Rattus norvegicus: one gene and its partner. The protein of the gene in region 1 binds, or shares a complex with, the protein of each later gene. Links are inferred from orthologs where the notes say so. Each region holds a gene or a part of one and is shown on either strand. Other genes may lie near its edges.

Region 1 (3,814 bases):
TGAGTCTTCAACAGTTTAAGCTGGAACTGCCCTCTTTTTAATGCACCTCTTTAAAATGGGTTTCACTGTCGGTAGACATACTTCATTTGAAAAGTTTTATACTGTTTCTCTAAAAACGTCAGGTTTGATGGATTACGGGTAGTCAGCGTGTTGGTTTTTAGTTACTCTGGGTTTTCCGTTATTTGTTATTTGGTCATTGTTTCTCTTGCAGACCAATTTGGTGGCCTCTGGTGCTAATGAATCTGAAATCTACATTTGGGATCTAAACAATTTTGCAACTCCAATGACGCCAGGAGCTAAAACACAGGTATCATGTTAACTGTTGGTCAGTGCAGTCAAGGAACCAAAAAGCTGTTCATTTAAACACATTTATGTTAATTTCCAGTAGCACGGTAAAGTATCGATAAATATGCTTCTGTCTTATCAAGTGGGTGCAGGGAAATCATCCTGGTTTGAAATCAACTTGGAATCCAGCGTGAGGCCTTACGTGACGCTGGGTGGGGGTGCATGCCTTTAGCCTCGGCACTCAGCAGGCGGGGCAGCCAGATCACACCAGCCCAGTCTGCATGGTACGCTCCAAACCATTAGGGCTACATAGTGACGCCCCGCCTCAAAGAATAAAAGCAAAGTGCAGTGTTTCTTCAAAGTATCTGTGAGTCTTAGGGCAGTGAGTCCTCATTCAGGGCCTGCCAACCGCCAGCATTGTGGTACCAGGCCGGAGAACTAGACCGAACAGATAAACAAACGGCCAGCAGCTGTCTCACAGGGACACGATGGTCTCTGAATACTCGCTTTCACCCATACTCAGACCGATCCACTTTTCCTGTGTGCCTCATGTAGGCTGGGTAGGAGCTTCTTCTGCTCTGTTTTTGAATTTCTCATTGTTGTGTGGATCCCAGTTGCACTGGCTGCTCCCCATACCTGCTCCTACCATTTTGAGATCTTGAAAGGTGGCTTCATGACAGTATTCCACTCCTTACGAAGGCATATTTCCTGTAGTCCAGCCTGCCGTTTGTGTCTGCCTATTTGTAGGGCACATTCACCAGCCACTGTGTGGTCTGTGGTCTCTATTGCACTATCATCAAATAAAGAAGCAGCTTGGTTTATAGCAGAAACTCAACAAATGATGTCGGATGAGGCAATAGGAAACAATGTAGTTTTGAAGTCATGTATGTCTCTGTTTAAACAATATGGTAGATGTGGTGAATGTGATAGGAAGGAAATCAGTGGAGTAAATGGGCCTCATTTTTAAGTACTAGAGTTTTCTTTTTTTAATAAAGGATCAGCCAGGCATGGTGGTACAGGCAGTAAACCCCAACAGAGGCTGGCGGCTCTCTGAGTCCCAGGGCAGCCAGAGCTACATAGTGACACCCTCAAAAGAAAAGGAAAATAAAGACAATAAATTAATAATATACAAATAATAAATGAAGAATGAGAATTTATAATTAAGTTTGTTTTTTAATTTTTTTGAGACAGAGCCTTACGATGTCATTCTGGCTGGCCTAGAACTCAAGAGATTGGCTACCTCTGCCTCCAGAATGCTGGGACGACACGTGTATGCACCACATCCCACTTTATAATTAAATTTGAGTCTAGTAATACCCTAGGTACTTTCTGTTGCTGTGATTAAACAACTGGAGGAGGGAAGGGTTTGTGTGCCTTACGTGTCAGGATCCTCGTCTGTCTGTCTGTCTGTCTGTCTGTCTGTGGGAGGTGACGTGCCTTGCCTGCTCGCTTACTCCAGGGGCAGCACCTTTGCATCAGTCAGCAGACCAGAAAGTGTTGTGCAGCCGCACCGTGCCCTCAGACCCCTCTGATGTGCACTGGCAGGCTCCTCCTGCAACTCCAGTCTCTCAGGGTGACACAGTAGCCAGCACAGTAGTGAAGTGGTTTTCGATGTTTCTCCCTAACAGCCACCAGAAGATATCAGCTGCATAGCCTGGAACAGACAGGTCCAGCATATCTTAGCATCAGCCAGTCCCAGTGGCCGGGCAACGGTCTGGGATCTCAGGAAAAACGAGCCTATTATCAAAGTCAGCGACCACAGTAACAGGGTGAGTACAGAATGGACGCGTGACGAAGCACGTAAGATTAAAATCCTGTCTTTATCCATCAGGTAACAGTGGGATGGGGGTCACTCCCTTAGTGAGCATAATTACACACCCAGTGTTTTTCAGCTTTTTAAGCACTTTATTTATTAATTTTGTGTACGTGTGTGTGTGTGTGTGTGTATACACGGGTGCCATGAAGCACATGTCGAGTTGAGAGGACAACTTTTGGGAGTCTGTTTTCCTCTTTTTACCAGGTGGGTCCCAAAAATCAAGCTCAGGGTGTTGGGGACTTAGTGGCAGGCACCTTTACCCAGGGAACCATCTTGCTGGCCTGGTTTTTGTTGTTGTTGAAGTTAAAACTTAAATATTTCTATTGCATTTATCTTATCCCAGCATTTACCATTTTGCTAAAGACAGACACACTTGACTCCTGGGCATGCTGTTCCTAATTAACGACCATGGAGTCGTTAACTTTAACCCTGTTAACGTTAACATTTCTCAGAGGAATGTGAAAATATGTACATTATTATACAAACCAGCTTTGTGCCCATAGCAGCCATCAACACTTTACTTGTGAAAGCCCATGTCCTGTTGGCCCTGTCCAAAGGCCGGGAGCCCTGTCATTTCACCCACTCCAAGGCCATGCCAGACTCCAAACACAGAGGTCTCCTGAGACCATTGAAAAGCACAGATAATTACATCATGATTCATAACAGTGACAAAATTACAGTTATAAAGTAGCAGTGAAAATAATTTTATGCTTGGGGTCACCACAGCGTGAGGAACTGTATTAAAGGGTTGCAGCATTAGGAAGGTTGAGGACCACTGATGTAAAAAGTTCAGAACTAGTCTGAACTGGTCCTTTTTCCCGTTCATTTTGTAATGACACAGTCCTCAGCTTTTATCTCTGCTTCATAAAGTAACATGATGCTGAGATGTGGGCCTTGCTGTCTGCAGATGCACTGCTCTGGGCTGGCATGGCACCCTGATGTCGCTACTCAGATGGTCCTTGCTTCTGAGGATGATCGATTACCAGTGGTCCAGATGTGGGATCTTCGATTTGCTTCCTCTCCCCTCCGGGTTCTGGAAAATCATGCCAGGTACCGTGCTGCTGTTTCAGGGAATTTTGTTTCTTCATATTTTGTTCTAAAACATTTACTCATTTTTATTTTAAGCAGTCGTCATGATTTTCTCTCCAAAGTGGAAGATAGATCTTACCATACTCACATGAATCCATTGTTAACGATTTCCCCCCACTTATTCAAATAATGAAGCAGGACATAGCGATGTGTGACTGTGGCCCCAGCACTTGGCAGGTGGGGGCGGGGAGATCAGGAATTGAGAACCCCTCAGCTCCACAGTGTGAGGGTGGCTACAAGTCACCAGAGTAATCAGTCAAACTGAGTCTGTCAAAACTCAGACAGCTCTTGACATGGACCACGGACCTCAGAAAGTGGGATGCCAGGCAGGAGCAGTGGAGAAACTGGCTTGACTCTGGTTTCAGTTTACTTTAAAAGTGAACATTTTTGAGCCGTTAGTGTTAAGTAGATATTCTGAAAACAGGGCTTTTCTCTTTACTATGTTAAGTAGATATTCTGAAAACAGGGCTTTTCTCAAGTTCTGGTGTCCTTACAGTTCATTAGTTAGGTAAGGTTCTTGTCATTGACACTGAGGTACTAGTAAGTTTATTTAAATTAGCTTAAATAAGAAAATTCCTTTTACTATTGTACTAGTTTCTAAGTCCTTTAGGAGTTTCTGCTTCT
Region 2 (4,391 bases), on another chromosome or scaffold:
TTCACCCTGAAGCCTTTGTGCTGTTTCACCTTGTCCCCCAGCTGTAGGTCACCAACCATGTGAGCCAAACCACTCGACACCCATAGTTGTGCTTCCGTGCCTCTTCAGTGGAAGCCGTACCTCTTATCCCGTGAGTACGGCTGCTCCTGCCTTCGAGGCAGAGTTTTCTTTTTCCCTGATAACTCCTGTCAAAGCCTACCTACCTAATATTGTAATAACACAGTAGCTAATGTATAGATTACCATTATACCATTAGGTGACAGAAAACCACCAAGATTTAGAGCGGTCTCTTGACAACAGCATCTTGTAGTCCCCACAGGTTAAATAATAAAAACCCTGTCAATTCCAGCCACTTTTGCCTAAGGCAAAGGTCACTCTGAAAACACAAAGGAACCAAGAATGTCTAGCCTAAGTGGATGGCAGAAGTGGCAAAAGCTTTCCTTTAACTTTGATGCCCAGGCTATGAGGCACTACCTCGCATCTCACCTGCTTCCTCCCTTTATCCAATCACATTGCAAGAAAATGCTCCCCATTAGAACAAAAATGAGCCTTTTAAAATTCCCATCACGTCTTCCAAGTAATCCCTTTCCAAGTTTATACAGCACACCTGAGGGAAAATAACCCCCAGATATAGTAATTAGAAAAGCAAGCTACGCCTAAAGAATTACAGATGACATCTAATAAGAAAAACGTGTCGAGAGCTGTGGATGAACTCAGTGGGCAGGGCGTTTGTCCACTGTGCACGGAGTTCTGGGTTCTACCCTCAGTTCAGAATAAACGAGCACCAACTCAGGAGTTAGGGGCAGGAGGATCAGCAGTTTAAGGGTCATCCTTGGCTACATAGAAGTTCAAGACCAGTCTAGGACTCTGAGTTGGTCAAAAACAAAGAAAGGAGGGGGCGGAATGGGAGGCTGGAGAGAACCCAGCACACGTGTGGCTGCTGCACAGGACCCAGGTCTGATTCTCAGCAACTACATGGTGGCTCGCAACCATTTATAACTCCAGTTCCAGGGGATCAGATGCCCACTTCTACCCTCCACAGGCAGCAGGCATACTCTTGGTGTGCTCACACACACACAGGCTAGTCAAACATTCATACAAATAAAATACATAAATCTCAAAATTAAAGAAAAATGTTTAAAGAAAAAAACTGTCTCCGATGGTACCATGAAAGATTAATGATGCTGACACCAGCAAGGACATGACTCCATGGAGAGCTCCAAACGAAGGCCACAATCCTCTCATTTCTGCTGGGACAGTGTTCCTCACGTTATACAAATACCTCCCCATGCTCCTGCTGCCAGCACTTCCCCTATCTCTAGTTCCCAAAATGGCCCCAGAGTTGTAATGTTTGTTTATATATATAAGACTATATATTATAGTCATTCTTAATTTATAAAAAATATATAATAAAATATATAATCTTTATAATAAAAATAATCTTATTATGTTCATTGGTGTGAGGGTGTCACATCCTCTAGAACTAAGTTACACACAGTTGTGAGCATCCATGTGGTTGCTGGAGATTGAACCCAGGTCCTCTGGAAGAACAGCCAGTGCTCTTGACCTCTGAGCCATCTCTCCAGCCTCCCCTCCCCCCACCGTACCCTCCTCCTCCTTTTTAAGTCTAAGCAGTCTTACAGCAAATGTGTTTCCACAAGAGTACCTAAGGACCATCTTGAAGCCTTTCAAAACACTAAACAATTACTTCTAAATTGTCACCTGACTATTTGTCAGTGTCCCTGATGATCCTCTTCAGAGCAGTTGCTAAGACTGATAGTAGGTCAAAGGCCTTCTAGATAAGCAAGGGACCTCTGTTGCACAGAGCTAACCTTAACTCTCCCGCAAGGCCTACACTGTAGCTCCCATTTCTCAGAAAGCAGTTTCTGAGGCTCATATACATTTGTTCTGGAGCTTGGCGAGGCAACAATAATGGTACTCAAGAAAATACGGTCACAGTAGCTTCAAACACCTTTACTTATGGTGGTAACGGCAGTTTAGTCTTAAGGACTTCCTTGGAAATAACTCTAGGAAGGAAATGGCTTACTGAGAATGGATCAGGCTTCAACTCACCATTGGATAATGCTTGCTGAAGTTCATTGTCTGAAATCACTCCGCTCCTGTCTTTATCAACCCTACCAAAAAAAAAAAAAAAAAAAAAAACAAGACCAGGTGAGTTGGTGATTAAAAATAAAGGAAAAGTAAAACAGCCGAAAACGTTTCTCTTAGCTCAGCTGGAATGTAACACACCCTCCTCAGGTGTGCCAAGCATTAAGGAACAACGAGAAGCAGTATGAGGGGTTGAATCATCTTTTCTCTATTCCCTCTCAAGCCTTTAGGTTCTTCAAATCTGCTTAATTTACACCACCACCAGTTCATGTTTTTCATAATAGGTAAAGATTCTCTAGGACGAATAAGTCATTCTTTGGCACGAGTCAGCGGAATAACAATCCAGTCATTCAGAAGGACAACCAGGGACAGAAGTCATGCAGTAGCAGTCACCTCTTTTCACTGATGCCGTTTTCCTGACTCAAGATTTGTCCTCTTTCTAACGCAAGCACCCCTGATCCTGTAGGGCGGCTGGTCCGCCCTTCGGCCCTGAGCAAAGTAACTGCCAACACGACCTTGTGCTACTACAGAAGAGAGGAAGCCGGGGATGGAGAGTAAGAAGGACTGGGAGGGAGGTCTTGGGGGTGGGGGGTGGGAAGGACGGGAGGGTAGGTCCTGGAAACGGAAGACTGAACCAAGAGCGCCGGCCTCACCGCTGGAAGACGTTCCACAGGAAGCTCTGGTCTGGCAGTGCAGCTCCAGCAGCAGGGCCAGGGCCAGCACCTGGGCCTGGGCGGTAGGAGTAGGCAGCCATGGGCTGATGCACAGCGGTCCCGCGGCCCAGCTCCAAAAGCTGTGCTTCCGCCTCAAGTCAGGGGCAGAACCAGGAGCCCACAACTTCCTGGGAACAACGGAAGCGCGTGCCTTTGAGTCACTTGGCAGGCGTGGTCAGTTGCCACGCAACGTCTACAGGACCTTGGGGTTAGTCTGAGCTCCGCCTCCTACTCAGCCGGAGGCGCCTTGGGTGTCTCTTGCCTTTTAGCCCTACCCTGCTCCGCCCTCCTACGTGTCGCACCCTGGAGCTTCCGCAGGTGAGCTCAGAAGAGAGCACACCGCGAGGGCCTCGCCCGAGCTTACAAAACGTCTCCACCTGTAATGGAAAGTGGTGAACGCTTTCACTTGGATCGACGGCTTCCCTTTCTGCATTAGTATTTAGTGCGAATGTGATGTGCACCAACCGCATGAAGTTCTCAGCGGAAACTCAAGAGTGACATTTTGTGCACTCTGGAGTTTGTCCATCTGTTTATAGATCACCTTCCCGCCTTCCCACTTGCATATATGCCCAGTCTCCCTAGGTTTGCAGTGACTTCATTTGTAAATGGCCCCAGTGAGATTTGGTCCTGAGGTGAGACCTTTGTGTTCTCTCCACCCCTTAATTGGACTTCTGTATTTTTGGTGGTAACTCTTTTTAATTACAAGCATTCCTTTCTTCATTCGATACTAATTCTTATGGTGCTTTTATGGTTTGGAATGCCCCTGAATGGGAGAATGCACAGCATTGGGGCAAATTCCAACCGGTCACATTCTTGTGCTGCCAGGCCATCCTTCCACCTGGATCTGTATGCTGTGAATAGTTCAAGATACAGGTTACTCCGGTTCTGCCACAGGATCATTCCAGCCTTCATATTCCTCATCCAGGGACGGATTTATCATAAGAACTGCTATGCTCTTTTACGGGGTTTTAGTTTGCTTGCTGAGGGTGAAGAGACCAAGGGCCAAGAATATGGCCTTGTACATCTGAGACTTCCATGAGGACAACCATCCATTATTTAGCACAGATAGGGATCTCTTCAACTCACAACTGTATCGTTTTCTGCTCCATTTTTCTTGTTCTTGCCCATGAGGTATCTACTTGAAAGATTTTCAAATTCTTCAAAGAAATATCTTATAGCTTTGACATTTGCCTCAAAATCTACAAAATTCTTTAAGAAAGGTAGATTTTCTTCCATGGTTTGGTAAATTCATTTTTTAAAATTTTCTCATAAACTGTTCATCTCACTTGTTGAATATAATCTTCTAGGCTTTTCCAGTTCTTTTATTTAGAACCTGAAATCCATTTTTATTCTGTCCCATCTCTGGCTCCTTTTCTCTTTTCCAGAACTACAAAAATATTAATAACTTTCCTACTCGAACGGGAAGTTCTCTAGTACAGAGAAACTTACTTCACAGACCCGAGGCTGCTGCGTTCGGTACTCACTCCATTAGCTGCATGCTGACCTTGGAATGCTATAAAGGCACAGTCCCAGGGAGACCACTTTCTGCAACAGCTTACCAGTAGCTGT

The links.
Region 2: the proteins of Sec31a (region 1) and Pdcd6 are in contact, whole or in part, in a crystal structure (PDB 3WXA), measured with the Homo sapiens proteins. The link is inferred for Rattus norvegicus from reciprocal best matches to the Homo sapiens genes SEC31A and PDCD6. Residues at the interface, in NP_001070675.1 of Homo sapiens: Asn837, Pro838, Pro839, Pro840, Pro841, Gly842, Phe843, Ile844, Met845; in NP_037364.1 of Homo sapiens: Val31, Val35, Leu48, Ala51, Leu52, Ser53, Asn54, Gly55, Thr56, Trp57, Phe85, Trp89, Ile92, Gln96, Phe99, Phe148.

The regions. Positions count from the first base shown.
Region 1 is NC_086032.1:9,531,987-9,535,800, forward strand, and holds part of Sec31a (protein transport protein Sec31A), read left to right. Parts: intron 1-211; coding exon 212-307; intron 308-1,913; coding exon 1,914-2,054; intron 2,055-3,008; coding exon 3,009-3,151; intron 3,152-3,814. UniProt on the Homo sapiens protein: Component of the coat protein complex II (COPII) which promotes the formation of transport vesicles from the endoplasmic reticulum (ER).
Region 2 is NC_086019.1:30,793,699-30,798,089, reverse strand, and holds the start of Pdcd6 (programmed cell death protein 6), read right to left. Parts: upstream 2,986-4,391; 5' UTR 2,864-2,985; coding exon 2,763-2,863; intron 2,136-2,762; coding exon 2,074-2,135; intron 1-2,073. UniProt on the Homo sapiens protein: Calcium sensor that plays a key role in processes such as endoplasmic reticulum (ER)-Golgi vesicular transport, endosomal biogenesis or membrane repair.